Cricetulus griseus: one gene and its partners. The protein of the gene in region 2 interacts with the protein of the main gene of each other region in a pairwise test. Links are inferred from orthologs where the notes say so. Each region holds a gene or a part of one and is shown on either strand. Other genes may lie near its edges.

What was found.
Region 1: the proteins of Lrp6 (region 2) and Gsk3a interact in binary tests that used the Homo sapiens proteins (3 or more experiments, as listed by UniProt). The link is inferred for Cricetulus griseus from reciprocal best matches to the Homo sapiens genes LRP6 and GSK3A.
Region 3: the proteins of Lrp6 (region 2) and Lrrk2 interact in binary tests that used the Homo sapiens proteins (3 or more experiments, as listed by UniProt). The link is inferred for Cricetulus griseus from reciprocal best matches to the Homo sapiens genes LRP6 and LRRK2.

The regions. Positions count from the first base shown.
Region 1 is NC_048602.1:9,983,685-9,993,740, reverse strand, and holds the start of Gsk3a (glycogen synthase kinase-3 alpha), read left to right. Parts: upstream 1-4,204; 5' UTR 4,205-4,314; coding exon 4,315-4,597; intron 4,598-4,768; coding exon 4,769-4,948; intron 4,949-6,213; coding exon 6,214-6,401; intron 6,402-8,159; coding exon 8,160-8,243; intron 8,244-8,397; coding exon 8,398-8,508; intron 8,509-10,056. UniProt on the Homo sapiens protein: Constitutively active protein kinase that acts as a negative regulator in the hormonal control of glucose homeostasis, Wnt signaling and regulation of transcription factors and microtubules, by phosphorylating and inactivating glycogen synthase (GYS1 or GYS2), CTNNB1/beta-catenin, APC and AXIN1.
Region 2 is NC_048601.1:14,476,206-14,486,161, reverse strand, and holds part of Lrp6 (low-density lipoprotein receptor-related protein 6), read right to left. Parts: intron 7,950-9,956; coding exon 7,747-7,949; intron 6,083-7,746; coding exon 5,871-6,082; intron 4,681-5,870; coding exon 4,490-4,680; intron 1,591-4,489; coding exon 1,381-1,590; intron 1-1,380. UniProt on the Homo sapiens protein: Component of the Wnt-Fzd-LRP5-LRP6 complex that triggers beta-catenin signaling through inducing aggregation of receptor-ligand complexes into ribosome-sized signalosomes.
Region 3 is NC_048595.1:388,185,680-388,195,735, forward strand, and holds the start of Lrrk2 (leucine-rich repeat serine/threonine-protein kinase 2), read left to right. Parts: upstream 1-4,170; 5' UTR 4,171-4,327; coding exon 4,328-4,484; intron 4,485-4,651; coding exon 4,652-4,737; intron 4,738-10,056. UniProt on the Homo sapiens protein: Serine/threonine-protein kinase which phosphorylates a broad range of proteins involved in multiple processes such as neuronal plasticity, innate immunity, autophagy, and vesicle trafficking.

The DNA of each region.
Region 1 (10,056 bases), on a different chromosome or scaffold from region 2:
TGTGGTGTATTTAAGCATTTTACTTTTTTTTTTTTTTTTTTTTCCTAGAAACAAGGTTTCTCTGTGTAGCTTTGGAGCCTATCCTGGCACTCGCTCTGGAGACCAGGCTGGCCTCGAACTCACAGAGAGATCCGCCTGCCTCTGCCTCCCGAGTGCTGGGATAAAGGTGTGCGCCACCAACGCCTGCCTGGCTTAGCATTTTACTTCTTTAGGCATTCGGCAACAAAGGGTTTTATTAAACCTTCCAGTAACCCAGAGCTGAGCTATTCAGGGAAGTAGCTCCAAATCTCACGGTCTTGTAACAACTGGATTTTTCTGATGTAAAGATGGCTGAATTCAGATCAAGGTGTCCCGGGATTTAGGATTTGGTCGATGACGAGCTCAAAAAGCTAGAAAACCAGCTTGGAGAGTGGAGTCTTGGAGGAACTATGAACAATCTGGAAGAATTCAGGTTGTGATGGCTGGTGGATACAAACCCCACCTGGGCAGGGCAGGTGTCACGCCCGAGGCCCAGAAAGGGGAAGGGGTTCCCCCAAGGCCACACAGTTGCTGAGAGATAAGAGAGGGAATCAGAGCTCAGGGCCTGTTGGACTGGCTTCGCTATAAAACACCACCCTGTGACGCCCTGAGGGGGAACGAACATTGAACCGGGCAACTGCTTATCTATCCCAGCGAGTGCCAGCCCCGGGTTGGGTGGTCTCAGATGATGCAGTCAGTTGGCAGTGAGGAGAGGATCCAGGACCAGGATCCTGGCAGGAAATAGGCTCTTGTGGCAGCCTGTAGGCAACTGCTCCCTCTCCTGGGTGATGTAAGTCACTCCCTGGGGTGGGAGCCACTGGGTTATTTCTGGAAGTTGGGATGAGACATATCTCCTGGCAACGGAGATGCAGCTGAGTTGCTAGTGGGGTGACAGAGGAAGGCGGATGTTGTCACTGCAAGAAGCAGGACTGGCCAGTAGCCTCAGCAGAAACCTTGAGAGCAGCACTTCCAATCACAAGACTCTATAAGTGCTCGGCTTCACAGCCCCTTGGAGGTCAGGTCAGGGTCTATTCAAACTTGTTGCCCCAGATTCTGACTTTGTGTGGGTGTCACAGGTCCTATTTGGCCTTAAAAACAGCAGCATCCCCCCCCCCCCGTTATCCCTTTTGTTTCCTGAGACAGGGTTTCTCTGTGTGGTCTTGGCTGTCCTGGAACTCGTTCTGTAGACGATGTGAGCCTCAGACTCACAGAGATGCACCTGCCTCTGCCTCCCGAGTGCTGGGCCTTCGAAGACCCTATTTCAAAAGAGAAGGGGGGGTGCTGGGGATGGGGCTCGTTGGTAGAGTGCTTGCTTGTTTAGCATGTACAAGAAGACCCTTGGGTTCAATTCCCAGCATCCAAAACCTGTCGTGGTGGCACCCACCTGTAATCCCAGCATGGAACAGGCAGGTTAGAAAAGACATCTTCAGCTTCGTCGTGAACTTGAGCAAGCAAGCTGGAGTTATCAGGTCCTGTTTTCAAAAGAAACAGAAACAAAAGACACCTGACCTTGGTCCTGAGATTTTTTGCTTCCAACCAGAAGATCCTTGAGGGCATTTTACAGATTAATCCATGCCAAAACCAAATCCCATTTGTAAGGACAGCCCTCCTCCCAAGTCCCTACACAACCCCTCCAAAGTCTCTTCAGTGTCGTGCTTCACCTAGTCAGGCTGCTTGGAAACCGTCTTAATGTCTCATTCTCTCACAGGTATCTCTTGAGCTTTCTCCATCATGCCCCAAACAATGGCTTTCCGATGCCTGTGGCTTATCAAAGACTTCTTTCATGCAGACATCTCTAGGACCCCCTTAGACACTTGGAGACATTTTACAGCTCTTCTCTGACATTCGCCCTCCAAGTGCCCCACGGAGATTAATGCAAAGACCGGCCGTCTGCTCAGGTCATACCGGCTCCGGCGGTTAAGTAATGGGTTCTGTGCTGACACACACACACACACACACACACACACACACAACACACACACACACCACACACACACACACACACACACACACACACACACACACACACACACACACACACACACACCACACACCACTCACACCACACCATTCACACACCAAACACAGACACACAGACAACACACACAGACACACACAGAGACAGACAGACACACACACACAGACACACACAGACACACAGACACACACACCAAACACACACACCACTCACACCACACACACACACACAGACACACACACCAAACACACACACAGACAGACACACACACACAGACACACACAGACACACACACCAAACACACACACAGACAGACACACACAGACACACGTGAGACTTCTTGGTCCTCCTATGCCTTGGGGCTTGACTTAAATTTTACTTTTCAACTCCGAGCAGCCGTCAGAGGGCGGCAGCCGTCCGTTTGGCTGTGCTGCACCGGAACCGCCCTCTCCAGTCGAGCGAGCGAGCGTGAAGCTTTGCAAAGTGGGCGGAAGGACCTGCGCTTTGCCTTCTGGATAACGTAGTCTGAAGGAGAGAGAGAGACGGAGACAGAGACAGAGAGAGAGAGAGGAGAGGGAGAGAGACAGAGAAGAGAGAGAGACAGAGAGAGGGAGGAGGAGGAGACAGAGAGAGGGGGGAGGAGGAGAGAGAGAGGGATTCCCAGTATCGTTTGGGATACGAGTTCAGGACATAAGTTGTCTCATTTATTATTATTATTATTATTTTTTAGTCGTGCAGCTCGTCCTCTTGGCTGTAACCACGTTGTCAGAGAGAGGGAGAGAGAGAGAGACAGGGAGAGAGAGGGAGAGAGAGAGAGGGGGAGGGAGAGGGAGGGAGAGAGAGAGGGAGTGACAGAGAGAGGAAGAGACGGAGAGAGAGAGAGGGAGAGAGAGGGGGAGAGAGAGGGGGAGAGAGACAGAGAGAGGGAGAGAGACAGAGAAAGAAGAGGGGGAGAGACAGAGAGAGAGGAGAGGGAGAGAGAGACAGAGAGAGAGAGGAGAGGGAGAGAGAGGGAGAGAGACAGAGAGACAGAGGGAGACAGAGAGAGAGTCCCCGAAAACAAGCGTTGGGACCCGCGGTCGGTCGGTCGGTCGGGCCGGGACTGTTCGTGAAACCCTTGGAGGATTCAGGGAGGAAACGTGTTTCTCTTCCCAATCTGTGGCCCTCGAGGGACTGGCTCCTTTTCCCAGCAGTGGCTGATGGGCTGAGGACCAGGGAGGAGACATTGTAACTCCTAATAGTTTCCCCCCGGGAACTCTCGTCCTTAACCTTTCACCTCCACTGCCAGCCACAGCACTCCCTTTGGACTACGTTTCCCAAGAAGCCCTGCACCTAGCTTCACAAAGAGTCAGATTCCACTGTGGACTCTTCCCAGCATGCCTCTGGCTGCTGGTCGCTCCCATCCCCTTCCTCAAAGATGAGGCTGTCTTGAACTTCATTTCCCAGAAGACACCAGGCTGGCTGAAGCACCGCGCTTAACTCTTGGTGTCGACTACATTTCCCGGAAGGAACTGCGGCGCAGCTAACTGGACAGAGAGAGCGCGATGCCCGCTCCATTTCCTATCCTACCTCTTCCAGTTACAGTATCTACTTGGGGTTTGAGGACCACCTGAGTCTTTTCCTAGCGTGCTTTACAAAACGCTCTACACCTGCAATGCGGTGAGGGCGTGGTGACGACTCCATTTCCCAGTGTGCTTCACAGATCAAGAACCGAGGGTGCACGAGTGCGGACTCAATCTCCCAGAAGGCACCCGGCACAGGAAGTCACCGACCAGCCCATGGGAGTGGATGGGTGACTGGACTCCATTTCCCAGAATGCTTCAGGGTTGGAGGCCGCTCCGGGATGGAGGGGCTAGGATTTCATTTCTGATAGCCTCTGGGGCTTGCTGTTGCATCTGTGTAATGAGCGTCTTGCCCTGAATGTGGCTTCCGAAGTATTTTAGAGTTGCCTTTGGTCAGGGTCGGGTGACATTATCCAGGACTCTACTTCCCGACGTGCAGCGCGAACCGTATTTCCCCCCCACCCCTTTTCCCTCTGTCCCCCCTCCCCGCCCCCCTCCCCCCCCGTCAGCTACTCTGAGGTCTTGAGAACTCCATTTCCCGGCGTGCTGTGCGAGTCCGAGGGTGGCGACAACGAAGCCGACGGCAGAGGGACTTCATCTCCCGGCGTGCCCCGCGGCGGGCGCTGGGCCGGAGCCGGAGCCCGAACGGCGCGGCCTGGAAGAGGCCGGAGCCCAGGGGAGGCGGCGGCAGAGGCGGCGGCGGCAGGGGCAGCCCAGGCAGCCCGAGCCCGCGGCCCTGGGCCTGCGCTCGGCGCCATGAGTGGCGGCGGGCCTTCGGGAGGCGGCCCTGGGAGCTCGGGCCGGGCGCGGACCAGCTCGTTCGCGGAGCCAGGCGGCGGAGGCGGAGGCGGTGGAGGCGGCCCCGGGGGCTCGGCCTCCGGCCCGGGAGGCAGTGGCGGCGGGAAGGCGTCAGTCGGGGCTATGGGTGGGGGCGTGGGCGCCTCGGGCTCCGGGGGTGGCCCCAGCGGCAGCGGCGGAGGCGGCAGCGCTGGCGCCGGCGCGGGCACTAGCTTCCCGCCGCCCGGAGTGAAGCTGGGCCGTGAGTACTTAGGGGCGCCCCGTGGGGTGGTGGTGGCGGCGGTGGCGGCGGCGATCGGGGTCCCCCAAGCCCGGCAAACGGCGGCGGCCAGGCTTTCTTTGGTATTTTTTTTTTATTATTATTTTTTATTTTTATTTTCTATTTTTTTTTTCTCTTTTCCCCGGGACCCAGATAGAAAGAAGCAGCTTGAGGTTCACCGTGCTGTTTCACACCGGGATCTGGGCTCTCGGGGCTCCCGGATAAAGGAGTTGGGGGGCTCCCATCCCTTGGAGTTTAGAATCAGAATTACCAGCATCCGAGAAGCAGAGGTCACAGGCCCCATTCTTCCAGTATCCAGTATCAAGGTCCCGGGTACTTGACGACGCTGCCATGCACTAGGGAACAGGATCAGAGGTCATAGTTACTTGCCAGTGGTGATCTAGGATCATTGTCCCCTAAGAGACAAGAATAAAAAAGATCACTGCCACCGTCCTATACGGAAAAGGGGGCGGGGGGGGGGCACTGGTTTCCTTTCCATCAGAAATGGGGATTTGGATGGAATGTCTCTTTTAGAAGTGCAGACTTAGGATTACTGATGTTCCCACAGAGCAGGGCCAGGCTTGAAATATAAGGCCTGACATGACCACCTTACCCATCGAAAATGTGTAGACTTGTGTCCCCAATGCTGACAGCGAGTTATCATTGCTGTTTGTAAATGACAGCAGATTGGGAATAGCAATGAGCTTCAAATCAAACAGTGTTCTTTTTAAAAAGAAAAAAATGGGGGGGGGGGCGGGGCTGGTTAGCCAAAAAATAGAATGGGGTGGCCTGGGTCACACCTACTATAAAATACGGGTTTGAAGTGGCCGTCTTTGGCTCTGGGGAAAAAAAAAAAAAAAAAAAAAGCAATGTAGGATTATTTTTCAAAATGTCATACACTGCCCCCTCCCAACTGGAATTTGTTGATAAGTTTTCGGAAGGTGACTGGGAATGGCACTAAGAATATCCCACACATCCCAATCAGTGCAGTGTTAGGTAAGAGCAACAGCAACCCCCACCCCTAGCAACAAGTGAGGGTCAGGGCACTGTCAGTTAGCCCCGTTCATTTCCGTCACTCAGGAGCAGTGGCAATGGTCCTTGATCTGCCAGGGAGGATTTAGAAGTTAGTGCCCTCAGACTGTGAGAATGGCCAGAGTTTTCTGGAAGAACGAACACCTCATAGTTTCTGCTCCTTTGAGTGGAAGATGGTACCTTGTGGTGGCCCTGCAGAAGGGGCCAAAGGCCGGGGAGCCCGGTGCGGCTGGGTTATGCACCGAGGGTGTTGATGGTCCCCCACCACCAAGTGACTTGCTGTTGTTTGCTAAAAGGAGAAAGTGGGTACTTACACATTAATGGAAATAAGTTTGCATGTCCGTGCCCTCCAATATGGGAAGCAGAATGTAGGGTTCCTTGGAGGGAGGCTCCGGGTTACTGGAGTAGCTAAGCTCCCCTCCCTGTCCTCAGGTATTGAACTCAAGGTGTGTGCCAGACAGTACTCTGTCACCAAGTAATCACTGTCCCTTCACCCACAGTGAGTTTTTTGAACAGCTTTCCCTCCCTGGGAAAGGTCAGTAGATTGTATTCCCTTTGTTCCTTAGGTGACAGCGGGAAGGTGACCACAGTGGTAGCCACTCTAGGCCAAGGCCCAGAGCGTTCCCAAGAGGTGGCTTACACTGACATCAAAGTGATTGGCAATGGCTCATTTGGAGTCGTGTACCAGGCACGGCTGGCAGAGACAAGGGAACTAGTGGCCATCAAGAAGGTTCTTCAGGACAAAAGGTTCAAGGTACCTTGAGTGGACTGGCGGTTTGGGGACTGGGAGTGACTGCTGTTTGTGTCCAGCAATAGGACTAGTATCTGGAATTTAATGTTCTTACTATTATTTATTAATGTGTGCATGTGTATGATGTATGTGTGTGCCATGATGCATATACGGAGGCCAGGCAACTGTTGGGAGTTGGTTCTCCTACCACCCTGGAATCTGGGGATTGAACCCAGGTCATCGGTCTTGCATGGCAAGCACTTCTATGGACTGATGTGTCTCACCAGCCTGAGCCCAGGATTTCAGCGGGACCTGAGCATGGGCCTCAGGAGAGAGGGAATTCCGGTGAAGTGAACTGGGGGAAATGTAAATTTCAGAAGAGCTGAGAGCTAATGTTTACTGGGCATTTCCTTGGTGTTAAGTGCTTGACAGGCAAGTTCTAATTTAATTGACCTGAAGCATCTCTGAGGGCAGGACCTGCTGCTATTCCTGCTCTATGTCAGCAGAAATGAGGCTGCATGGTAAGGGCCCCTTCGGGGGAAGGCTCTGGCCTGTAGACTCGGAAGTCCCTCTCCTCAACCACTTGGTCACATCTCTTCCAGAAGAAAAGGTCAGATAAGGCTGATGATGATGGTGGCTCTGAAGGACGTGCTCTTCCCCAGGCGTCAGCCAGTGCTCAATGTAATCGAGCCCTGACGGTGCTCATTTGAGCCCCTTGCCTTGTGCAGGGCAGGGCTGCCTCCAGAGGATAGGGTGCTCTGTGAGCTGCAGAGGCCTGGGGAACTAAGTAGCAGGAGAGAGGAGGGGGGTGCACGGAGGACTGTACCAGACCCGACGGGTAAGCGGGGCTGGGCAGTGAGGGCTCTTGGACAGGAGCAGCTCTGGGGTGTCAGTCAGACCTTGGTGGAGCTGAACTGCAGAGCTGGGGCGGATCTGAGAAGGGTTCTGATGCCCTGGGTGGGACCAGACAGTGGGAAGAGGCCCAGGCACGGAGGGGAAGGTGAGGTTGGAAGGTGCTGAGTTGTGAGTCCCCAGCACTTCCAGGGAAGGTGGCGTGTTGAGTTGTGAGTCCCCAGCACTTCCAGGGAAGGTGGCGTGTTGAGTTGTGAGTCCCCAGCACGTCCAGGGAAGGTGGTGGAGGGGGACGGGGGTCAGGGAGAAGCAGACAGCCACTGCTCTCTGCTGCTGCTGCTTTTGCCTGTGTCTGGTGTGACGTTTCCGTGGTCTGATTTCTTTAGTTTTGTAGTATGTGGGATGGAACCCAGAAGTTGTGTGTGCTGTGCGAGCGCTCTACCACTGAGCTAGCTAGATCCCTAGCATCCTTCTTTGTATTTTGACACAGAGCTGCCCCATGGTGCTCTGACTGTCCTTGAATTTGAGGTCCTCCTGCCTTAGCCTTCCAAATTGCTGAGATCTTAGACCAGCACCAGGCCTAGCTTCAGTAAATTCTTCAAGAGATGCGGAGGGTGGGCTTTATGAAGAAACTAACTGACCTTTACATGTCAGCAGTAGTTAGAGAACTTCTAAAAAGCAGCTTGAAGTAAACACACTGGTGGCCCAGGACTAACTGGCCCATAGGCTGTAGCTTGTGTGTGAGGGGAAGGGGCCAGAGGTTGAAGTGAAGAACTAATTTTCTTCTCCCTGCCCCAGGCCTTGCAGCCTTGAGTTTGGGGCACAAGGGACAGCTGCCTGCTTTCTTAGCAGAGATAGATGGAGGGTGAGGTGACGGTGCTGGGCGGGGGAGGCGGGATTGTGTGTATTGAGACTCCTTTTGCCCTGCAGAACCGAGAGCTGCAGATTATGCGTAAGCTGGACCACTGCAATATCGTGAGGCTGCGGTACTTTTTCTACTCCAGTGGCGAGAAGGTGAGATGCTGGAATCTGAGGGGTAGGGGTGTAGCCACACTCGGATGCTATCCATCTTCCCGCCCTCTTTCCCACGAGGTCCTTCTGCTCCTCACTGGTCTCTGCACACCTTCCCTCTTAGCTTACAAGGTCTCTTCTCCCCTTTGCCCTCCAGAAAGATGAGCTGTATTTAAACCTGGTGCTGGAGTATGTGCCCGAGACGGTGTACCGGGTGGCCCGGCACTTTACCAAGGCCAAGCTGATTATCCCTATCATCTATGTCAAGGTATGTAGGCAGGCTGCTGGAGCACAGGCCCACAAAAGCAGGGGCCCTGGGGCTACCTGTGTCTAAGGTTTCCTTCATCTTTGAATTTAGGTTGGTCTCTGGAGGCCTATGTTCCCTGTCTTCAGCCTTGTAGCTTGCAGATGGGTTTGGCTAAGTCCAGGGAGGGCCAAGGCAAGGGCTTGCCAAGGAGGTGGCAAAGGGGTTGGGGTTAGGTGGGAAAGCTAGAGTGGCAGGAAGGTGTGCCCACACAGAAGAGCCAGGCAGGCTCTCCCCAGATCGCCTGTGGGTCTGTTGGTGGCTTCAGCACCTTGTGCCCTGATAAGCTGTTGCTAATGTGGGCTGTGCCTGTGGCTGCCTGCTGCTGCTGCTGGGCCATCCACACTGGGAGGACAGTTCGGCAGTTGCGAGCTGTACTATGGCTGCTTCTATGCTCAGCCAGTGCTGAGCAGTTCCAGAGGCACAGCTGACTGAAGGCCAGGCCTTGCCCATGGAGAGCTGGGCATGGTGGTACACACCTTGTGTCCCAGCACTCAGGAGGCAGAGGCAGAGGCAGGAGGATCTCTGACTTTAAGACCATCCTGGTCTACATAGTATGCTCCAGGACAGCCAGGGCTACATAGAAAGACTGTCTTTAAAAGAAAATAGCTGTTTGATGAGGTTATAGGCTCCGTCACAGAAAATGACAAAGCTGAGGAGCTGCTGCTAAGGCAGAGGACCACAGGGAGCTCTGGAAACTGAACGCCCCTTCCCTGCCTGGCTTGGGGTTGAGAGCCATGAAGGAAGATTGGGAAGGGAGTGGTGTGAGCAGGGGGTCCCAGAAACAGCCCTGTGTGTCAAGGGGTCAATTGGTTAGTATATATTAGGCATTGCCCTAGGCCTAGGAGACGCAAGAGAAAGCAAAGCCGAAGGCCCTGGCTGCACATAGTGGTGCATGCCTGTAGTACAGCACTGGGGAGGCCGAGGCAGGAGGATTTCAAGTTCAAGGCCAGCTTGAAATCTAGTGTGTAACTCTGGGTCAAAAGAAAAAATTCCCAGAAAGGTTCCATGGGTAAAGGTGCTTGCTGCAAGCTTGAGGACCAGTCACTGGGACCCACACGATGAAAGGGAAGAACCGACACCGGCAAGGTGTCCTCTGGTTGCCTGTTATCTGGGTGCATGTGTAACCCCCTCCCCCAGAAGCAGGCATGTATACACAATCAAAGTGTAATCCAAACTATAACAAATCAAAACTAAAAACCCTGCTTAGGTTCTAGTCAGTGGGCGTAAGGGAGGCAGGAAGTGAAGCTGGAGAAGAGCTGCCAGCAGGAGGCCGAGGCCCTCCAGAGCTCGTGGTTTTGGTGAGAGGGGAAGCGGAGTGCCTGGCCCACACCCTGTGTTATGGCAAGATCTTCTGGTGCTACTCCTCAGGCTCGTGCGGGAGGTGACTGGGGCAGTAGTTCTCCATGTGAGGGCCAGGCCTAGTCTCGGTGTGCCATCCTCAAGCTTCAGAATCAGAAATTGGGAATGGGGCCCTCTGGCCTATTCCCATGCGTCCAAGTGCTTGTGGCA
Region 2 (9,956 bases):
GGGGAATGATATGGGAGTCTTCACTGTCCCAGCTGGTCTTAAGTCCAAGTGATGATCCTCTTATCTCAGCTCTAGAACTACTGAGATTGCAGGCATGTACAAAATCTAGCATGTTATATAGGCATGCATATTTCATTTTAAAGTATTATAAAAGCAAGGCCTGGGGAAAGTGCTCCAGGTAAGAGTATTTGCCATGAGTGAGGCCCTGGGTTCAATCCTAAACAACAACAAACCTAAAAAAGATGATCAATAAAACTATGGATAAATACAATGAATAAAACTTAACTATGATAGGCTTGCATTACTTTTTAAATTAAGATATTGGCTGGCCACATGTATTCCAGTATTAGGAAGCAGAGGCAGCTGGATCCCGTAAGTTAAGGCCAGGACTGTTTACACAGCAAGTTCCAGGCCAGCCAGGACCACACAACAAAAGCTGGTTTCAAAAGCCTAATAATAAAAAAATGATTTATAGAACTAGAAAAATTGCCAGGGGAGACTTCTGACACATAGTTTTGTTTCTAAAACTGAGAATTCTCTTTTAAATATTTTAACTCAGAACTTCTACTTTTCTAAAAGATAAATTATAAATTATTTCATTTAAAAAAAGCATATTTTAATAAATAATTTGTAGAACATTAAAGTTAGTAGAAGGAAAAACTTAATGGTCACATGGAACTGAAATAGACAAAATTATATGCTTGTTCAACTGCCAAAGATAGCATAACAAAGATCTAATTTCCTCTTACTTGGGTGAAGCTAAAAAGACAAGCCATTAGGCGACTTTTCAATGTCGATTTCACAACTTGTACTTTATGAAGTCATTGCTCTGAATTTTCTATTTAGCTTGTGTTACAAACAACCCTGTGTTTGCTGTTACAGTATTGTTATCATTATGCAATAGAGCCATCCATTATGATTTGTTTTCCATCATAATATGGGTGCTACATAAATTTGTGTTGATGTTAAGATTGTCGACGATCCACAAAGGAGCAGAATGCCCCAAACGGACATTACTTATGATATCTGAATGTGCATCAACAGAGGTGGTTCTCGGTCTTTCAGGTATACAATATTATTCAATTATCTACTTGGTCTGAAGACCAAATCCAGGTCCTGTGGGTGCTAAGCAAGTGCTTTACTACTGAGCTACATTCCAGGTCTTGGTTTACTGAGACTAGGTCTAGCTAGACAGTCCAAGCTGGTTTCAAGTGGGCAACCTTCCTGCCTCCACCCCTTGGTGCTAAGATTTCATACTCAACAATGTTTTTCTAAATGTAATAACAAAGTAAAGAAGAAAAATGATGTGAAGAAGCCACAAGACCATGTCTTGTTTCTTACAACACACACAGTGCTTCTTGCACCGTCCACCTCACTTACTATACTCGTGCAGGTTCAGCTCCTTTACTGCATGGATGTCACTCAGCTGAGCAATTCGAGCCTGGACCTTCGTTCTTCCTTCTCGACCAGTCATGTCAATTTTTTCAATCATTTGCTGCTGCTTATCAATCCAATAGAGCCAGTTTTCAAACACAGTCAGACCCACAGGCTGCAAGATATTAGAGTCTTCTAGCACTATCCTGTTGGCACCTTGGAAAAGGAAAATATTCAACAGTAATGATTTGTGTGGCCAAATCCCACTTTCCACAGTTATCCAATGAATACTAAGTGGACTCGAAAAGTATGGGAAATACAAGCTCTGCACCATGAGACTTAACTGTACCAGAAAACGGTACTAAACCAGACATGTGCAACTGGGAATTAATTACCAATATACAGGGACTTTTCTAGTTAGGAAATGTAGCAAAGAACTTGGGACAGTGAGTTTCAATTTGTTTTTAGCAGAATCCATTTTCAAATTAAATTATATGAAAAACTAACACAACAAAGCAGATGAAAGCAATGCTTGTCTAGATGAAGCAGTGGTAGAAAGCCCAGGGTTCTATGCTTAGCACCCCCCACGTTCTGCAAACACCTGAGACATTTATCAAAAACAATTCTACCCTGATTCCACTTGGCTTCTAAAAATACACAGTCCATCTGACTCACAGGTTATGGACTAATCCTGTAATATCCTGGACTCAATGTCCAAGAACAGTAATACAAGGCAGGGGGGATTAGCTTCTGGATGGTGTGGTAATGTTGAAGCATAGACAGGTGATTCTTGGCACCTCTAGAGTTTGGTGTCATCCATGCTCTCAGAGGATCTCAGAACATATCCTCTGAAGAAAAAGGAGGACCATGTACAAGTCAGCAACATCGAAAGTTTTTTTTTTTTTTCCGAGACAGGGTTTCTCTGTGTAGCTTTGGAGCCTATCCTGGCACTCGCTCTGTAGACCAGGCTAGCCTCGAACTCACAGAGATCCGCTTGCCTCTCCTCCCCAGTGCTGGGATTAAAGGCGTGCGCCACCAATGCCCGGCCAAAATCAAAAGTTTTATGGACTCATATGTGTAAGAATTTTCGTGTGTGTGTGTGTGTGTGTGTGTGTGTGTGTGTGTGTGTGTGTGTGTGTGTGAGAGAGAGAGTGCGTGCATGCGCGCGCATTTCTGAGGACTGACCCCAAGGCCTTGCTTATAGCTAGACAAGTGCTCTAGCAGTGAGCTGCATGATTCCAGGTGACCACACGGCAGCTCACCCGTCTCTAACTCCAGTCCCTGGCAGGTACCGGGTACACATGTACTACACAAACATGCATTCAGGCAAAACAGTTATTTTTTTAAACTTAAATCTCAAAATAGTGGAAAAGGCAGATTGTCTAGTCAATGGTATTGAGACTAAGTAGACAAAAATGCAAAGTTTCTTGTCTTATCAGCAAATGGAGGTTCCCATGAACCTCAAAGTACAAGATAACTCCAGATAAAACTCTACTAAACAAGGCCAAGGTTGACCCTGACCAGACAGATTCACTTTCATATACCTTAGCAGTAAATTCATATTCTGAACCCACAAAAAAATTCTAGAAATTCAAAGTGGAAAATGGCAGATGAGTACAGTGGTATATACCCACATTGCAGCTGCTCAGAAGGCATAAGCAGGCAGGGGTACCTCAAGTTTTTGGTCAGTGTGGTAAACAGTGCAAGGCTTTCTTTAAAACAGTGGTATGGGGACAGAAAGGGGGGTGTCGGGGGACGGGGGATGGGACTTATGAGCAGTAAGAAACAGGGAAATGCAAACTATCAATCAACACAAAAGAAATTTTGTTCCATTTCCATAAGTAAGAAAAAATTGCTACTATTATATACATTTCAAACTACTGGACTTATAAAAATCCCCAACATTACCAAGTGCTAGGGAGACAATTCTCATATAATGTTGATAGGTTCTTTAGACTATTAAAACTTTGGAGAGAATCCACATTCATTTTTATCTGTCGGTACAAATGGGTGTGCTACTGTCTCTATTATGTAGAAATTCCACCACTGCTTTTAGGCAACAGAGAGGTTCACATAGCAAGGTGGGGGCTGGCTGGTTTGTTTTTGTTTTTGTTTTAACAGGTTTTTGGAATTAGTCCAGCAGGTCTCAAAATAAGAGTCTTCCTGCTTCTGTTTCCAAGTGCTATGATTACAAGCACTTAACACCTTTCCTTATTCTTGAGTGGCACTGATAGTCACATACTGATAGGCTACATGGAATTTCTCCATGAAACACTATCACAAATGATGTTCAGTGATCACTCTGTTAGTATTTCTGTCAGACAGTCATCTAAAAGAGTAACTGCCAAATCAAAGGCTCTACCTCCTTTCAATCCTGGTAACTATTGGCAGACTGTCCTCCACTAGAGGTTCTACTCTTTTAATTGACCCCAAAGTGTCCTGGATTTGTGGTGCGGGAGACAGGATTCAGCATTCACATTAGGCAGATGCTGTACCAATGAGCTCCACCTTCACCCTTAGGAGAGTATGTTATTTCTACCATCCTGGCAAGTACTGGGTTTAATAAACTTCAACATACTTTTTGCCATTCTGACAAAAATAAACAGTGTATTATTTCAATTTTATCTTCCTGGTCACTAAAGAGGCCATGCAGAAACTGGATATCATGAATTATGATAGAAGAGAGAAGACCACAGAGAAACAAAAGGTAAAAATGATGACTGTTTGAAGAGTGAGAATACTCAGATCTTAAGGAGACATATTAGGAAACACACTTCAGAACAACGTCTGCATATGGGAGAGTGCTTCTGAACTTTCATATGGAAAAATGCAGAGAGATCAATCATAGGCTAGATTTCAGAGAGGACAGAATGTAAAAGTAGAGTGGAAGAATTAGGAAAGAAAACAAAAAGATACATAATTTTCAGATCAACAAAACTGCTGAGTAATTAGGGAACAAGGATGTAATCTCAAACATCCCCCCAACTAACATAATGCAGAATATATTTAATGAAAAAATTATAATCATGTACAAAAACAACACAAAAGAAGTACAAATGCACAGTAGTGAAATCATCTTAAAATTTAAGTCACGATACAGAAACACTTTGGGTACCTGAGAGATCACTGCTTTCAATTCGCCGGAGGTCTGAATCAGCCCAGAAGAGCTTGCCCAGCTTGCTGTCCAGTGCCAAAGCAATTGGTTTACTTAAGCCACTGAAAAAGAGGACCTCCCGTTCTGTTCCATCCAAGGCAGCCCTTTCGATTTTAGGAGATCTTTCCTGGAGATTGGTAAAATACATATACCTGAAAACAACAGGAGAAAAAGTTACCAAAGAGCCAGACAAACTGAGAATATTCTTGTTAAGAATATGCAGAAAGTACAGCTCAGTGGGAGACCACTTGCATAACACGTGCAAGGCCTTGGGCTTAATCCCCCAAACCACAAACATTTATTTATAAAGATAGGAGGTAAAATACTTTCAAATCTATCTAAAAATTCTCAGCTATATGCAAAGACATACTATGCATATAATGGAATAATCGGACAGTTCAAAGCACGGATATACTTCATAGTTAGGTTAAATATATCTATATCCTCAAGCATTTACTGTTTACGGTAAACAAAGTCTTTCTGATGGACTTCTGGGGTATGCACTCTGCAGTCGGTCGCTCTTAGCAATCAGCCTACTGTGCAATAGTGTGCTAGAGCTGCTCAACTGAGAGCACCTACTGATTAAACTTTCTCCAGGTTCTCCCTGCCCACTCCCAGTCTATTTTTTTACAAAGGTCAAGGGATATATTTATTATTTTTAATAACAGTCACAGAGGGCACCAAGAAGTAAGTGTTCAGAGAGTTAAATTTCACAGAAAAAAATAATGTCCAGAGAGATCTAGTTACAAAATTTTTAGGCATTTCTCTAATTAACCATTTTAATTACCAAAGATGGGACACACAAATCATTTATAGGTTTCATCCCTTTTCTGTAACTCTAGAATTAAGCCATTTTCCTGCTAATGCCCTTATCATCTATTCAGATGCAGCTGAGCATTGACTTTTTTTTTTTCTAAATCACATACAAACTCCATTAAATGAAAGCAGACATACTAGTTATTTATAATGGAGCCGAAGGTCTAGTAATAACCATGTAACAGAAAAACAGTTGAGTAAAGCAAACTGGAAAGGAATAATCATGACTAAGAAGACACAGAGTAGGCACTAGATTCCAGAAGTGAGAGAATCACACCTGGCTGGGGGATGAAGGAGATCAAGGCAAGCCACACAGAAGATGTGGCAGTGAAATAGTCCTGGAGGGTATGGGTGGGATTTAGAACTAAACCAATGAAAGAACTCTGGGCAGTAAAATCAGAAAAAACAGTAAGAAAATGCAGGACCAAGTAAATGGGAAACACTGAGTAGAGTTGTTTGCTGGTGCAAGGAAGGGTGAAGAGGGCATCAGAGGCGAAAGTGGAAAACTGAGGCTTTTGTAACATACCCTTTCTCAGGGTTTACCACAATGGCTCTGGGTCTGTCTTGCTCGCCTTTTAGAACCACTCCAATTGATCGCCCATCTAATCTTGTCACATCAATGACATTGGTAGCTTCACAGGTCCAGTAGATGTAACGGCTATAAATATCGATGCTGAGGTCATAGGGCTGTATTTCGAGGTTCTGATTTGGAACTGAGCTAACAACTACAGTAAAACCCTAAAGAAAGGAAAAAACACACAAGTTAGATTCCACACCAAACTACAGGCCATGACCACAATTATTAATTTGTGAGGTCACACCTCAGAAGGGTATCCAGTCTTTGGGGATATTTCTTATAGAAAGGGCTTTTATGAGTGGTATATCTGCTTGTTAACATGCATTTCAAATATCCCCCTGGGTTGCTTTATGGAACAGAAGAGTATGCTGAGGATAGCAAAGATAGTCCAGGAATCTGACAATGTCTTGATCAGAGGAGGTACCAGCTTTCCCCCATAACTATAAACAACTGTGGCTCCAATCACACCCTGGAGATACCTCTAGAGCAGTAGTTCTCAACTAAGGGTGATATTGCATCCATGGGCATTGGGAATGTCAAAATGTGAGAAACCTACTGATGACTACTGGATAAATACAGACCAAGAATGCTTCTAAACATCCTGTAGTGCATACATAGGGTAGCCTTACAGCAAAGAACTGTGCAGTCCCTAAGACCAGCAATACCAAGTGTGAGAAACCTTATTCTTCTGGAGAAAATAGCAATCAGGAGCGCACGCACGCACGCCCGCACGCCGCACTATTCAGACACAGGGTCTTAATCTATTGGCTAGGAGCTTTCATTTTTAGGTTCCTACATGCTGGGACTACTGCCCTATACCAAGATGCCTGACTACAAATTAATAATAAGTTTTTTTCTTGTAAAGCCAACCAAAAGCAGATTTGTCTATTTATTCTGTCCATATAAATTTTATTTCATTTACTAGGACTTTGAGCTAATATAGCCTTTTAAAAACTACTTATATCATTTATTATCTTTGGCTGTGTAATTTCTCTCTACCAGTTATTGAGTACTAGCCTATGTAGTACAAGGTACAGCTGGAGTACAAAGTATGACCACATTGCACTCGTAAGTATGTATGTATGTATGTATGTATGTATGTATGTATGTATGAATGTATGTATATCTCGCCCTCCTTGTTCTTTACTGTAAGGTAAGACAGAAAAATTGAGTAATATTTCTCTAAATTTTAACCATTCAAAATCCAATTTAAAATCTTTCGAATAAGGAAGACGATAGATAGCTATTGTAATCTCAAGCTTACACTGACTGACCCTAGAAGGAAGGAGTATAAATAATAGTATTGAAATCCACAATGGCACATAGGCACAGATAAGACTGATATTATCCTTATTCTCATTCTAAAGTCCCCAAATAGTAACCAAAAAAATACAGAATCAATAACACATTGTTGACATTTTTAATTTTACTAAGATTATCCTGTTTCTTAATCAATGAGTCTTAAAACGTAAAAAAGGTAACTATTAAACAGGTAGGGGCTTTACGCCTTACATTCTGTTCAACCAAAAAACTTAGCTGGGACTAGAACAAAGACCTACTTGATTTCAAAACATGTATTCAAAGGGATAATGAAAAAATGGCATTAATGGATGTGAACAGTGGTGGAAAAGTCACTAATGACCTAGCTTCCCTGATAAAATTTCCAATCCAATGCCATCATCAAATAATGATATTCGTAGAGTACAGCTACTTTGAGTAATAAAAAAGTCCTAAAATTTCCATTTCCCCTGTAGGCAGATGAAGCCGTGTGGATGGTTAGAGTTAATTCTAGTCAGAAATGGGCTCTAAATTAAGCCTGAGTTACCTGGCCACCATCTTCTTGTGCCTTTCGGATCATGTTCTGTCGAGAGTCAATCCAGTAGAGCTGCTTGTCCAAAGGGTCGTAATCAATGGCCCTAACGTTCCGAAGGCTGTGGATGGGAAGGGTGATGTCAGGGCTCTGCTGCTCGTCGATCACCATGCGGTTGATGGCACTCTTCTGACTGAAGAGCAGGAAGGTGGTAGGAGCTTAAAAGAGAAAAAAAGAGCAAATCTGAAACACTGTGACTCTCTTCACTACCACCCCAAGGTTGGCTGAGCCTGTCTCATGTATGCCATCAGAACCACATGTTAAGGGTGAGGGGAGAAACCTTCGGCACACCTCCAAAAACTCCCTTCAGAGTGAGAACAATCTGGCTATAAACCCAGTTGTAAATTGTTTCCGTCCACTTTGCCCTGAATTTTCTTGTTGCTTTCTCTGGTTTCACTGCCTGGAGTTCTTTCATTGGTTTAGTTCTAAATCCCACCCATACCTCCCGGACCATTTCACTGCCACATCTTCTGTGTAGCTTGCCTTGATCTCCTTGACTCCCACCCAGATATGGTTCTCCCATAGAAACTAAAGCAAAAGAATCACTGTAAATGTGAGGCTGGACAGCGTGAGATGTTATCAAAAAACCAAGAACAAAAACCAGGGGCTGGAAAAAATGGCTTAGTGGTTAAAAGTGCCTGCTGCTCTTGCAGAGGATGTGAGTTCAGTCCCCAGTACTCATGTGGCGGATCCCAAGTGTCTGTGACCCCAATTCCAGGGGAACTAACATTCCTTTGTGCTCCCTCGGGCACCAGGCATGTACATGGCACACACACACATACATGCAGGCAAACATTCATACACATAAAATAAAGGAAACTTAAAAAGTTTCACTAGAAAATGTTGTGTTCCATGGTAAGATGATACTCTAATTCATAAAAATGAGAAAGTGTATCCAAGACAACACTTCCCTTTCCCAGAATGGGGCCTTTCATTATTATGCAGTCATCTGTTCAGGAAAACATCTGAGAGGTACAGGCAGGAGGCTACTGAGTTGATTTCATGGCCAGCCTGGGTTTTGAACCTCTCTTCAAAACAAAAGTTTGTCAGTACCAAATCCTTTATTTGCTGTATTTTCCCTATACATATCTATCTATCTATCTATCTATCTATCTATCTATCTATCTATCTATCTATCTATCTATCATAAAACTTAGTTGAGGAGCTGATGGCTCACTGGTTCAGAACAACTGTTGCTCTTGCTGCAGGACCAGGCTCAACTTCCGGCACTCCTGGCTCACAGCTTTCTCTAGCTCAAGTTCCCAGGGATCCAATGTTCCTTTCTTATCTCCATGAGCACGAGACAACCTGGTGTGATTGACAAACTATGCAGGCAAACAGGGCAATAAGAAAGATTATAATATACTATAGTTGCTACACTTAGTACTTTGTGCTTTAGGGAAACTACAAAGAAGAATTAACATCACCTGAATACAATCACTCAGGATACTGTGACAGCTGATGTGAAATCAGCAGATATCCTGCTGCAAAGGACCTAGCAGGAGGACAGCACAAACAGGAGAAGTGCTGGACAAAGAAATGATTCGAATCCTAGTAGGACTGAAATAAGTTGCATTGTGCTACTCAGGACCACATGCAATTTAAAACTTACGAATTATTTCTGGAATTTTCTATGCATTATTTCCAGATGGAGGCTGACAACAGGTAATGGAAACCACTGAAAATGATGGCAGTGGGGGAGGGGAGTTTCCTATAGTTTATATACATAAATTTGATAACAATACTTTATTTTTCTTGGTGCTCAGCCATTACCTAAACCCAGCAGAATCATGTCCTTCTCAAGGATGTAAACACAGGAGGCCATGCCAGAACTCCTTGCCTGACTCAAGATCTTCATGGCTCTTATTGTGGTTGGGGCTTACTTTAAAACCACACTCAACTGTATACAAAGGAACTCATTGGCAGTGACAAAGAATCCTGATACTTGCAACACTGCATTTCTGTTAAGTTCTTCGTTGGTGAAAAGTCCATACCCAGCTTAGAAGATTCAGAAAGTACCCAGACTACTAGAAATTTCCATCACACATGGACCTAACAAACCATGAGCAATTTCAGTAGAGTTCAACTGTAAGAACACACTTTAGATGGCTCAGCAAGGTAGAGGCATCTCTCACTAAGGTTGGTGCTTCAAATTCCATCTCCAG
Region 3 (10,056 bases), on a different chromosome or scaffold from region 2:
CCTAAGAAAGAACCCAAAAGCAGACACAAGAAGTCCTCTTTTGTGTTGTTGGGTAGTGTTGTTCAAGAACATACAATCTATGACTCCCATCCTTATTCCCCTCCCTCCTGAGATGTGAAGGATGATAAGTCCCTATTGTTGAAGATAGCATGTACCTCAGAGGCAGGGACCAGAGACCCCTGAGTTGGAGCTGACCTGAATGCCTCCTTTCTAGAGACTAGCATTCATGGTATCAGAAGGTGCTGTGCAAGCTTCCAATGAAAGAAAGCAACCAACAGTCCTACCCAGCTATGATAGCTATAAACCTAAACAATGACCAACATGGCATGATATACCCAAGACTTTACCAGTTGCACGAATAACTTTGTGGCAAATAACAGCTCTCTAATTATACTTAAGACACATTCAACAAGGGGAAAACCATGACTGGTGCTGGAAACAGCCAATCAGCTATGGCTAATGAAGTCATGGATCTTGGAGGAGGACCTACAACTACCAGTTTACTAAACCAGCATAATCCCTAACTGCATTATAAATATTTGTCATTATATGTACAGATAAGTATAGTCTTCACCACTCGATGAAGAAACTTCTATTTGCAACAGATTTGGACCATTACAGAAAACTACAATCAAAATGCAGAGTTGTGAAGCTCAGTTCCAATGGATACATCTACAAAACACTTCAAAAACCTAACCAAACATTGCATAAGAGAAGATAGAAAGATTGTAAGAGCCAGAGGACCAGGGAGTTTGCTGTGAGATTGTATCTCCTAGTAAATTCAGAAGCTGTACCCATAAATTCTCCCCAATATGACTGCCTTAACAGGAGCAGAACAAGGACAATAGACATGCCCAAGTGGATGAGGGAAAGACTATATACCTCAACTCTACCCAAAGAACTATAGGCAAACAAGGAATGTTGTGATCAAGAGAAATACTCTTCCCTGGGAAGAGTACAAAAATTGGTTATCCAGCTGGGCGGCCGTGGCACACGCCTTTAATCCCAGCACTCCTCGGGAGGCAGAGGAAGGTGGATCTCCGTGAGTTCAAGACCAGCCTGGTCTACAAGACCAGCCTGGTCTACTGGCCTAGTTCCAGGACAGCCTCAAAAGCCACAGAGAAACCCTTGCTCAGAAAAACCAAAAAAAAAAAAAAATTTGGTTATCCAATACCAATCAATGATCAGCCATGAAAAAATGCTTACAAGAACACTATACAGACTGAGAAGGTTATATTTAGGAATATATATAGGAATATATGTATATATCATCCTCCCATCTGTGTAGTACTTTGTACTATTATTAGCCTCTTTCTGCTCTTTCAGTGTTCTCTTTATGTAGCTGTGCCAATGACACTGCAAATAATTTCATGATAAGAGAGTGCTTCATATATTGTATACACTGTGTCCTATATAGGGGTTTCAGGATGGAATGTGTGGAGCCTGAAATCCAAATCTAACTTGATACCCTCTGTGTGTCTGCTAGCTGGCACTGAGAACAACTGTTCCTGAGTCTCAGGAAGTCACTTGATCTGGATAAACTGTGCTTCCTGGGCCTGTCCCTCCTGTGACCCCAGTGACACTATTTCTTCTGAAAGTGTGATAGTAAAGGCTACTGTGTCCCTGGATCATGCCTAATTGACCAGTTCTTTCACTACAGTTGGTGAGCTCTTCTAGCCTCTAGGTCTTGCTGTAATATAGAAGAGTATCACTTAGTATTTCATTTTTTCTTTACTGTTAAGAGACGTAGTATCTTTTTATACTTAATCTTCCTATTAGTATGATAGACTCATTTATTTTTGCCTTTAATAGAGTTTGATCATTTCTTTTCAAAAGTTTTGCATATATTGTGTCAGATTTATTCCCATTATTTTCCTCATTGCTATTTCACTTACAAAGTTTCAGTGATCTTTATGAATATAAAGATGAACATATTTTTTTTAATTTCCTAATCATTCACAGTAAATCTACTGGTTACCATCTTTCTAGTGATTTATTAAAAACTCTTCTAGTTAATTGGTTTTACCATATGCAATTCTCTTCCCCCCCCCTTATCATTTCCCTTTAGTTTATGTTTTTCTTTGGTAACAGAAAATACGTTTCAATGAATCACAAATGTTAACTTTCTCTGTTTTCTGTTCTTGCCATTGTTTTTTAGGCGAGATTGAATGATGTTTAATATATATTTTCCCCTAGTTATTTTTGTTTTGCTTTTTAGCCCATCTGGATTTTGTTTTGTTGTTTGCTGTGTTTGGGGATGTCAATTTTATTTCTTTCTTCCTCAGAAGTTAGGCAAATATTTAGTGTTATTTTATTCTCCACTGAACACTGCCTTAGTCATGGATTCCTGTCTGTAGCCATCATTTTTATTCTTGTTCACTAGGGAGTTAATGAGTCTTGGAATTTTAGTCAATCAATTAAAGGTGTTCAAAACTCAAGGATACTTTGCCCCTAAGGTGCAGTGGCTTCTGGCAAATGTTTCCAGTAGACAGCTCAGACAGAGCCCACCCTGTTTGCTAGCCTGGCCAGTGTGGAGGCCTACAGGTAGATAAAGGAATTTAGGAACTTAGGAAACATGTTGTCACTTGGAACTGTCTTTTAAAGCGAACCAAGTCTCAATTTCTTGAAAGATTTTGCTTGCTTGCGTGTTTGTTTTGTTTTAAGTGAGAAACAGAGTGAACAAAAAAGAAAAAGGAAAAGGAAATCTGAGGTATTCATTCAGTCCTCAGAAGTTGAAACCAGTCCAGAAAGCACACAGAAGAGGATATATTGTAGGTGTCATAAAGATGACAGGTTGAATTTTGTTTCATTAGGGGAGATTACACATATAGAAATGTAACATTACCACAGGAGTATTTCTTGGCTTCTGCAATTCCCAGTTCCAAAGTTGCTATTTCATCTCTACTTCCTCCCATTTCAACCCCCCCAAAGCATGGAGTACCTGAAAGCAAATTCTAAATATTCTATCTTTGCAAATAAAAGCATTTAGTATATGTCTATAAAGATTAAAAACCCTTGGCAACAAAAAGCACTGATGTAGACTTCGTCTCTCATCCTGCTGAAATTAGGGGAGTGTGAACAAACCTCCATCCTGGATTTAAGTCTTGGCTCTCAGTACCCCCCCCCCACCACACCACAAACACAAACACACTCCCACTCTCTACCTCTGTGGTTCCAGCAGGCCTTCACTACCCATCCCAAAGGTGCCTCCTAGGTAAGAAGAGCAACACTCATCCATTTTGGAATTATTATCAGGATGCTGAATTGGAAGTCATGAAATACTAACTTGGTCTGATTCTCCTCTGGTGTAAAAGACCTCGAGGACAGGTCATCTGAAGGTCCTAGGTCATCTCTGTTCAATCTTTCTCTACAGCACTGTTCCTGAGTTCTCTTGAAAAACATACTACTTTGGCCTTTTCTTTCTTTTCTTTTGCAATCCCAAGCCTTCCTTCACTCAAGTATTCTAGCACTCTGTTTTCCAGGCCCCTTCTGTCTCCCACCCCCCTAATCTCTTACCTCTCTCTCTCTCACTCCCCCTCCTCTTCTTTGTATCTCCCTTCTTTCCTTCTCCCTTCCCCCCATCCCTCCTTTGAAATAGGCTCATTTAGCTCAGGCTGGCCTTGAACTTGCTATGAGGCAAGGATGGCCTCGAACTTCTATGGTTCCTCTCTTCCCCTCCCAAGTGCTAGAATTACCAGTTGCCCATACTTCAGATCTCTCCTTTAATTTTAGACGTCTGGACATGAGTACTAATAACTAGTTCTGAGCAGGAATGACGTTTAAGAACTGTTTCTTGTACCTTTTGTTTCACTGACTACCCCGTATTCTCTCAGTTCCATCCTTGAGAACAGGGAGCTGAATCAGACAGAACTCCCGGATCCTGCCTTGCAAACCCAAAACAACTGAGAGTCCTTTTGGCAACCAGAGCTTCAGAGCAAGCAAACATTTCATGTTTTTCCCTGCAAAAGCTACAACAATCTGGCCGATTTTGATGTCTAAATGTGGGCATCCTTTGGGGGAAAAGGACACTCCCTATAGGGGGAACTCTTAAAGAAACCGTTTTCCTGAAACGGGCTAACTGGGCGGTGTCCTCTTTTCCCAACGCCCCTTTGCTATTCTTAGATCGCAGATCGCGGGTGGCTGCTTTCGATTTTCCCCAGGCGGAGTTCCCAGCGCAGAGGCTGGGCAGGCTAGGCTGGGCTGGGACTGTTGCGGTCGCCTTCTGGGCGCGGCCGGCCGGGCCGAGGGCTGGGCCTGCAGCAGAGGCAGTGGAGCAACTGTGAACAGCAACCTTCCAGGCTCGCCCGCCGGCAGTCCCCGCCGCACTATGGCCAGTGGTGGCTCGCAGGGCTGCGAGGAGGAAGAGGAGGAGGAGGCGCTGAAGAAGTTGATAGTCAGGCTGAATAATGTCCAGGAAGGCAAGCAGATTGAGACGTTGCTCCAGCTCCTGGAGGACATGCTGGTGTTCACTTACTCCGACAGAGGTAATGCCTGCAGCCGCTCCTTTAGCAAACTTTATCCTGCACTTGGGGTGCTAGTCTTAGGCACCCCACTTCTTTCCTTCAGGGGGAAGGAACTGGGATCCCAGGAAGGTCGAAAGGATGCTGAGGATTGTGACTTTGTTTTCTTCCTCCACTTCCCTCTTTTTCAGCTTCCAAGTTATTTGAAGGTAAAAATTTACACGTGCCTCTGTTGATCGTCCTGGACTCCTACATGAGAGTCTCCAGTGTGCAGCAGGTAAACAGGCTGTTCCCTTCTGTTCTGAAGACCCTTATATGATAGGCATGGTGGCCTGGGTTCTTGAGATTAGCTTTCAGAGGGAAACGTGGTCAGTTGCTACCGCTATTAGCAGAGTAGAAGCAACTTTATTAACTGACAATCTAGATGGTGGCAGGAGTAAAATGAAAACACTTCTCTTATTGGCACGGCGAGTTCATTAACCTTTCAAGCTAGTCTAAGAAATTTCCTAATATGCAGTGTGTTTTTAATAGGGCATTGCTGTGATTAATTCCAGCAATTGGGGGGCGGGGATTAAGTAATCAGGAAAAAAAAACAGTCACATAAACAGCAAAATTTCATAGGGCCAGCTTGTTTACATGGTTTTAAATCAGAAGACATATTCAAGGCTTTTCCTGAAGTGTACCTCAAAGTGTCCAAAGAAAGTGATGTGTCCTGAGTTCCCTGTGTTTACATTTCTACTTTGCAGCTGTTGTCACACAAAATGGAGACAAAAGTGTAACTTCTAGGATCTGTGTCACAGAAAGCCCAGAAGTAGGCTAAGTAATGAAATGTGACTTTCAAAGCAGCCCCAGATAATTAATGTCTTTTGGTCAAGATAGAATTACTTCTGAAGGTACTAACTTCCTTTGGAGTTTTTCGATTTGGGGAATTGAAATCAGTTTTGTCATCTGAATACTAAGACTTTTAGGGGAACTCTGTGAAGGTGCAGCGAGAATATTCCTTCATATTCATGCTAGTGACTAGACAGAAGTAAGGCTTATCTCACTCTCCAAATTCTCCCTCCTCAAGTTCTCACAGTAAAGCCCAGACTACTTGGAACTTGCCATCTTTCTGCCACAGCCTCCCCAGTGCTATGATTGCAGGTGTATGGCTTTAGTTTTCTTTTATAAAAGCACACTTTTGTTTGCAATAATGCATTTTTCCAATTGTGAAATATTTTCTATGTGGCTAATGATTTTCAGGTTATTATCAAACAAAATCAAGAGAAAGATGGAGGAAGCATGAAAAAGATACTTTTAGCAGTCAGAGTCTGAGATTTACCCACGGAATATGAATCATTTTTAAGAAGTGTTTTGCTCTCCACCTACAGCATCCTTCTTGCTTCGTATTCAAAAGTGTCTAATTCTGGTTACCTACACTGCCAAGGGCTATACTTGTCTGTTTTCCCCTTGTCTGTTTCTACCCTCTTCACTTTTCTTCTTTATTTTCTTTTCTTCCTCCTCCTCCATTTCTTCTTTCTCCTTCTTTTCCCCTGTCCTTAACCCCCCCCTCTCTTGGTAGGAATTAAACACAGGGCTTTGCATGTACTAGTTAAGCACTCTACCAGTGAGTTAGCTACACCTAACCAAGACATTCTAATTCTTGATTATAAAAAATGCCCAAGTGTGGACACACTTGCCTGCAATGGTTATGATGTTGTTTGGGTAGGAGTGGGAGCAGCAAAGTGTGTTAGAAAGGAACAGCCTTTGGTTTGGTAATATAGCAGAATAAAATCAGTACATCCAGTGTTCTTTATGTGTCTATCAGCAAAGGGGTATATGCATATTACATTAGTAGATTCTTACTGGAATCTCACTGCCCTTGAAGAAAGCGGACCAATGTCTTTCCTTCAAATTGATTAAATTTAGAGTGAATAGTCCCTGGGGGAGCTTGTAAGAGAGTGAGGACTCAGATATGTTCATGACTCCAAAATCTTCTTCAGCTGGTGTTGAATTCATAAGATGTTGTGTAAGCAAGCAAAAGTCTAGTGGCTTAGCACAGATGCTATGAGCATGTACAATGGCCACATCATCAGTGGTCTTCTCAGGAGATATAGAAAAAGTTCTCTCTCAGTACTGAGATTTTCAACAGTTTACAGGAAAGTATTATTTTCTTTTAAATTTCTTCACATGATTGGTGTGATTGCATGAGTATCCTTTCCTATTTCTTGCATCCAATTAGCTAGCTGTACCAAATGAAAATCTCTCGGTGAATGTAAGGAGTTTGGTGAGTCCTCTTCAGAAGTGTGCTAAGGTTTTCTTGTTAGAGTCACCCAACACAATATTCCAGAGTCTGGATTTTTACATTTTTCTTTATCTGTGCTTTTTTGCAAGTGCAGATCTCAGAGAACTGCTGTCAACCTTGCCCTATGCATTCCTCTTCTCATCAGTCACTTTCTTTTGGTCCTCAATTTTACTTCTCTTTCCCCAAGAAGTTCCAACATTTGAAGAAGGATAACAAAATAAATGGAAGTGGGTTAGATGTTATCCAACCACTTGACTTTTTTGAATTGTTTATGAGTGGGATGCTTGGATTTATAGAGCAATTATAATAGAGAAAAGCTGTCTACTGTAAGTATGCAGGGTAAAAACTTTCTCTTATTGAAAGGTAAGTTCCTAATTGAAAGATTAATGCATCGCTTGTTACCCCTGCTTTGTTGCTGGAGATTTCACTTAGTCACCGAAGCTCTGCTCAGTGATTGCAGGCTCAGCTACTCAGATGGGTCTTTTTGCCAAGCAATTATTGATGCCGTGGCTTTAGCAACCCAAACAAAGCAGGTTTTCTCAGTGAGTCAGCTGTACAGGTATGGACAGGAGTTTAGCATCCTATAATACATTTCCTCACTAGAAGCTCATGAGAATGCTACTTTCTTAAATGTCTGGGGAAAAGGCTTCACATAGTTTTTAAAATTTAAAAAATAGAAACAGTTGGGTTCTATGACAGCTGGATTGTTAACGTCTTCTTATGTTGATATATTGCTTATGCTTTAATAAAGCTTGCCTGAAGGATCAGAATGCAAAGCTAGTCACAGCTGGGCGGTGGTGGCACATACCTTTAATCCTGAGTTCAAGGCCACCCAGGGCTACACAAGACTGAATCAGTCTAAAAGAGAAACAGAGCTCTCACAAAGGTGATCTCAGCACATGGGAGCTCACACCTTTAATCCCAGCACTAGAGAGTATATAAGGAGCTCAGTACAGTCTCAGAGACCAGTCTAGGATTCTGAGGCTTGGTGGATGGTAGTGTGATCTGGAGATGCAATCAGAGGACATAATTGCCCCTTTGGTCTGAGCATTGGTAGAGGGGAGAAATCTCTACTGTCTGGCTGCTTTGTTTTTCTGATTTTCAGTTTGAACCCCAATATCTGTCCCTGGATTTTTATTATTCATGCTACCTCTTCTGCTTACATGGAAGGGAGGAGGGTATCCAATTTAAATATAGGTAAAAATAAATACTCTTAGAGATTTCTGCCTTTTAAAGGAATTGCAATTATTTAAAGGGAAGTAGTGGCAACATGAGGCAATTCACGCTTAATTAAAAAATAGTATAGTAAAAAGACTTCAGCTCGAACAATGCTGTGAAGAGATGAGACTTTAGAGAGAGCCTATGAATTTTATCTTTTGTGAGATGCCTCCTATCTGCTCATGCAAACATACAGATGTGTGCCACTGCCCCATAGCAAACAAGTGTGAATCTCTCACCTTGCCATTCAGCTCTTTGCATCATTTATCTTCACTTCTCTGTCCAGTTTTCTTCAGCTGCTGTCTCTTCCCCTGCACCCAGTTCTTGTCATGAGCTCCCTGCTCGTCTTAGCGCTCATGAATTTTGAACTATGGCTGAAGTCGTACCTCTGCCACATTTTGTCTTTCTTTGAGTAGTTCTGACTCACAGTGTGAGTCTTTCTTTCAGGATTCATATGATTTAGTATTTATCATAAGTCATTCTCAGATACCCTTTCATTAATTGTGCATTTCATCAATTGTACATTTCATTAACTGTGTGCTACCTTGATAATAATTTTCTATTTTGTTTCCTGACCATATTGAGTATATTTCTTTAGCATGTAGGAAGAATAAAAGATGCTTCAGATTTACAGAGACAGTGGGAAGAGTGGTCAGATCTCTGAGTTAAAATCAGGAGTTGGTATTGTTTTTTCCAAAGGAAAAGAATGGTATGTTGATTTTGGAGTCAAGTCTAATTAGCTGTGCAAAGATAATTTAAAATGAGTGCTGAATAGATGACTTCACGATTAAGAGCACTTCCTGTTCTTTCAGAGGCCCCTTGTCTGGTTTCCAGCACACATATGGTGGTTTTCAAGCATATGTATAATTCAAGTACCATGTGTACTTCTTGGTCTTTGTCAGCTTGACACAGACTAGAGTCCCTGGGAAGAGGGGACCTCAATTGAGAAATTACCTCCATTGGACTGGCCTATGGGCAAGCCTAGAGGGCATTTTCTTGATTAATGATTGTGGGAAGGCTCAGTGCACTGTAAGCAGAGTCTTCCCTGGGGAAGGTGGCTGTGGATTGGTTATGGATTGGACAAGAAAGTAAACTGAGCAAGCCAGTGAGCAGCTTTTGTTCACAGTCTATGATTCAGTTCCTACCTCCAGGTTCTTGCCTTGAGTTCTTGCCTCAGCTTCTTTTAATGGTAGATTGGAAGCTGTAAAGATGAAATAAACCTCTTCCTTCCTGAGTTGCTTTTTGGTCAGAGAATTTCTCACAGCTTCTGAGACATTAATTAGAGCATGGGAGTTCTGACCCCAAGGCATCTCCTGACCCCAAGGCATCAGTCACAAAGGTGGCATATATGCACACATGCAAGCAAAACCTTCAAACATAAAATCAACAAATCTTTTTTTTAAAAAGATGTATGCAAAATACAAGGGTTACTTAGGTGTTCTGCCTTCTATTATAGTTTCTTTTTCTAGTAGCAGATGTAGTTTCAATCATAGGACAGTACTGCTCATAGGCCTCTATTACCCAAGGCCAGTCATTTCCCGTTGCCACAAAAATCTTCAGCATTCTCCAGTTCTCCATTCCAAGCTCCTCTCTCTTTCTGTAATCAAAATTTTGAATTCTTGGGAAAGATATGTCAGATATTGATGTTAAAAAAGCAATAAGGTATGAGTATAGCCACTCTTGCTTAATAACTTCAGTCTTCCCTTAAAATTGTTACTTATTTTGGTTTATTTAGATAAAAAGTGTTGTAATTTTAAAAATCCACATGAGAGAGAAAGATACTTTGTGACAGAGTTCACATGGAGGGTGTTTTTATTTTTTTATTAGGGGAAAGGGAATGGAAGAAGGGGGAGGGAGAGACCAACTTCTGCAGACAGGAGCAGTAAAAGAGAGAGAGGCAGAGGGAGAGAGAAAGAGAGACAGAGAGACAGGCAGAGAAGGAAGAAGAAGAAGAAGAAGAAGAAGAAGAAGAAGAAGAAGAAGAAGAAGAAGAAGAAGAAGAAGAGAGAAAGAAAGAGATAGAGAGAGAGATATGAGCAGGGCCCTTTTAAAGGGAAATATAGTGAATGTGTACAGGTGGTGCTCTTAGTGGCT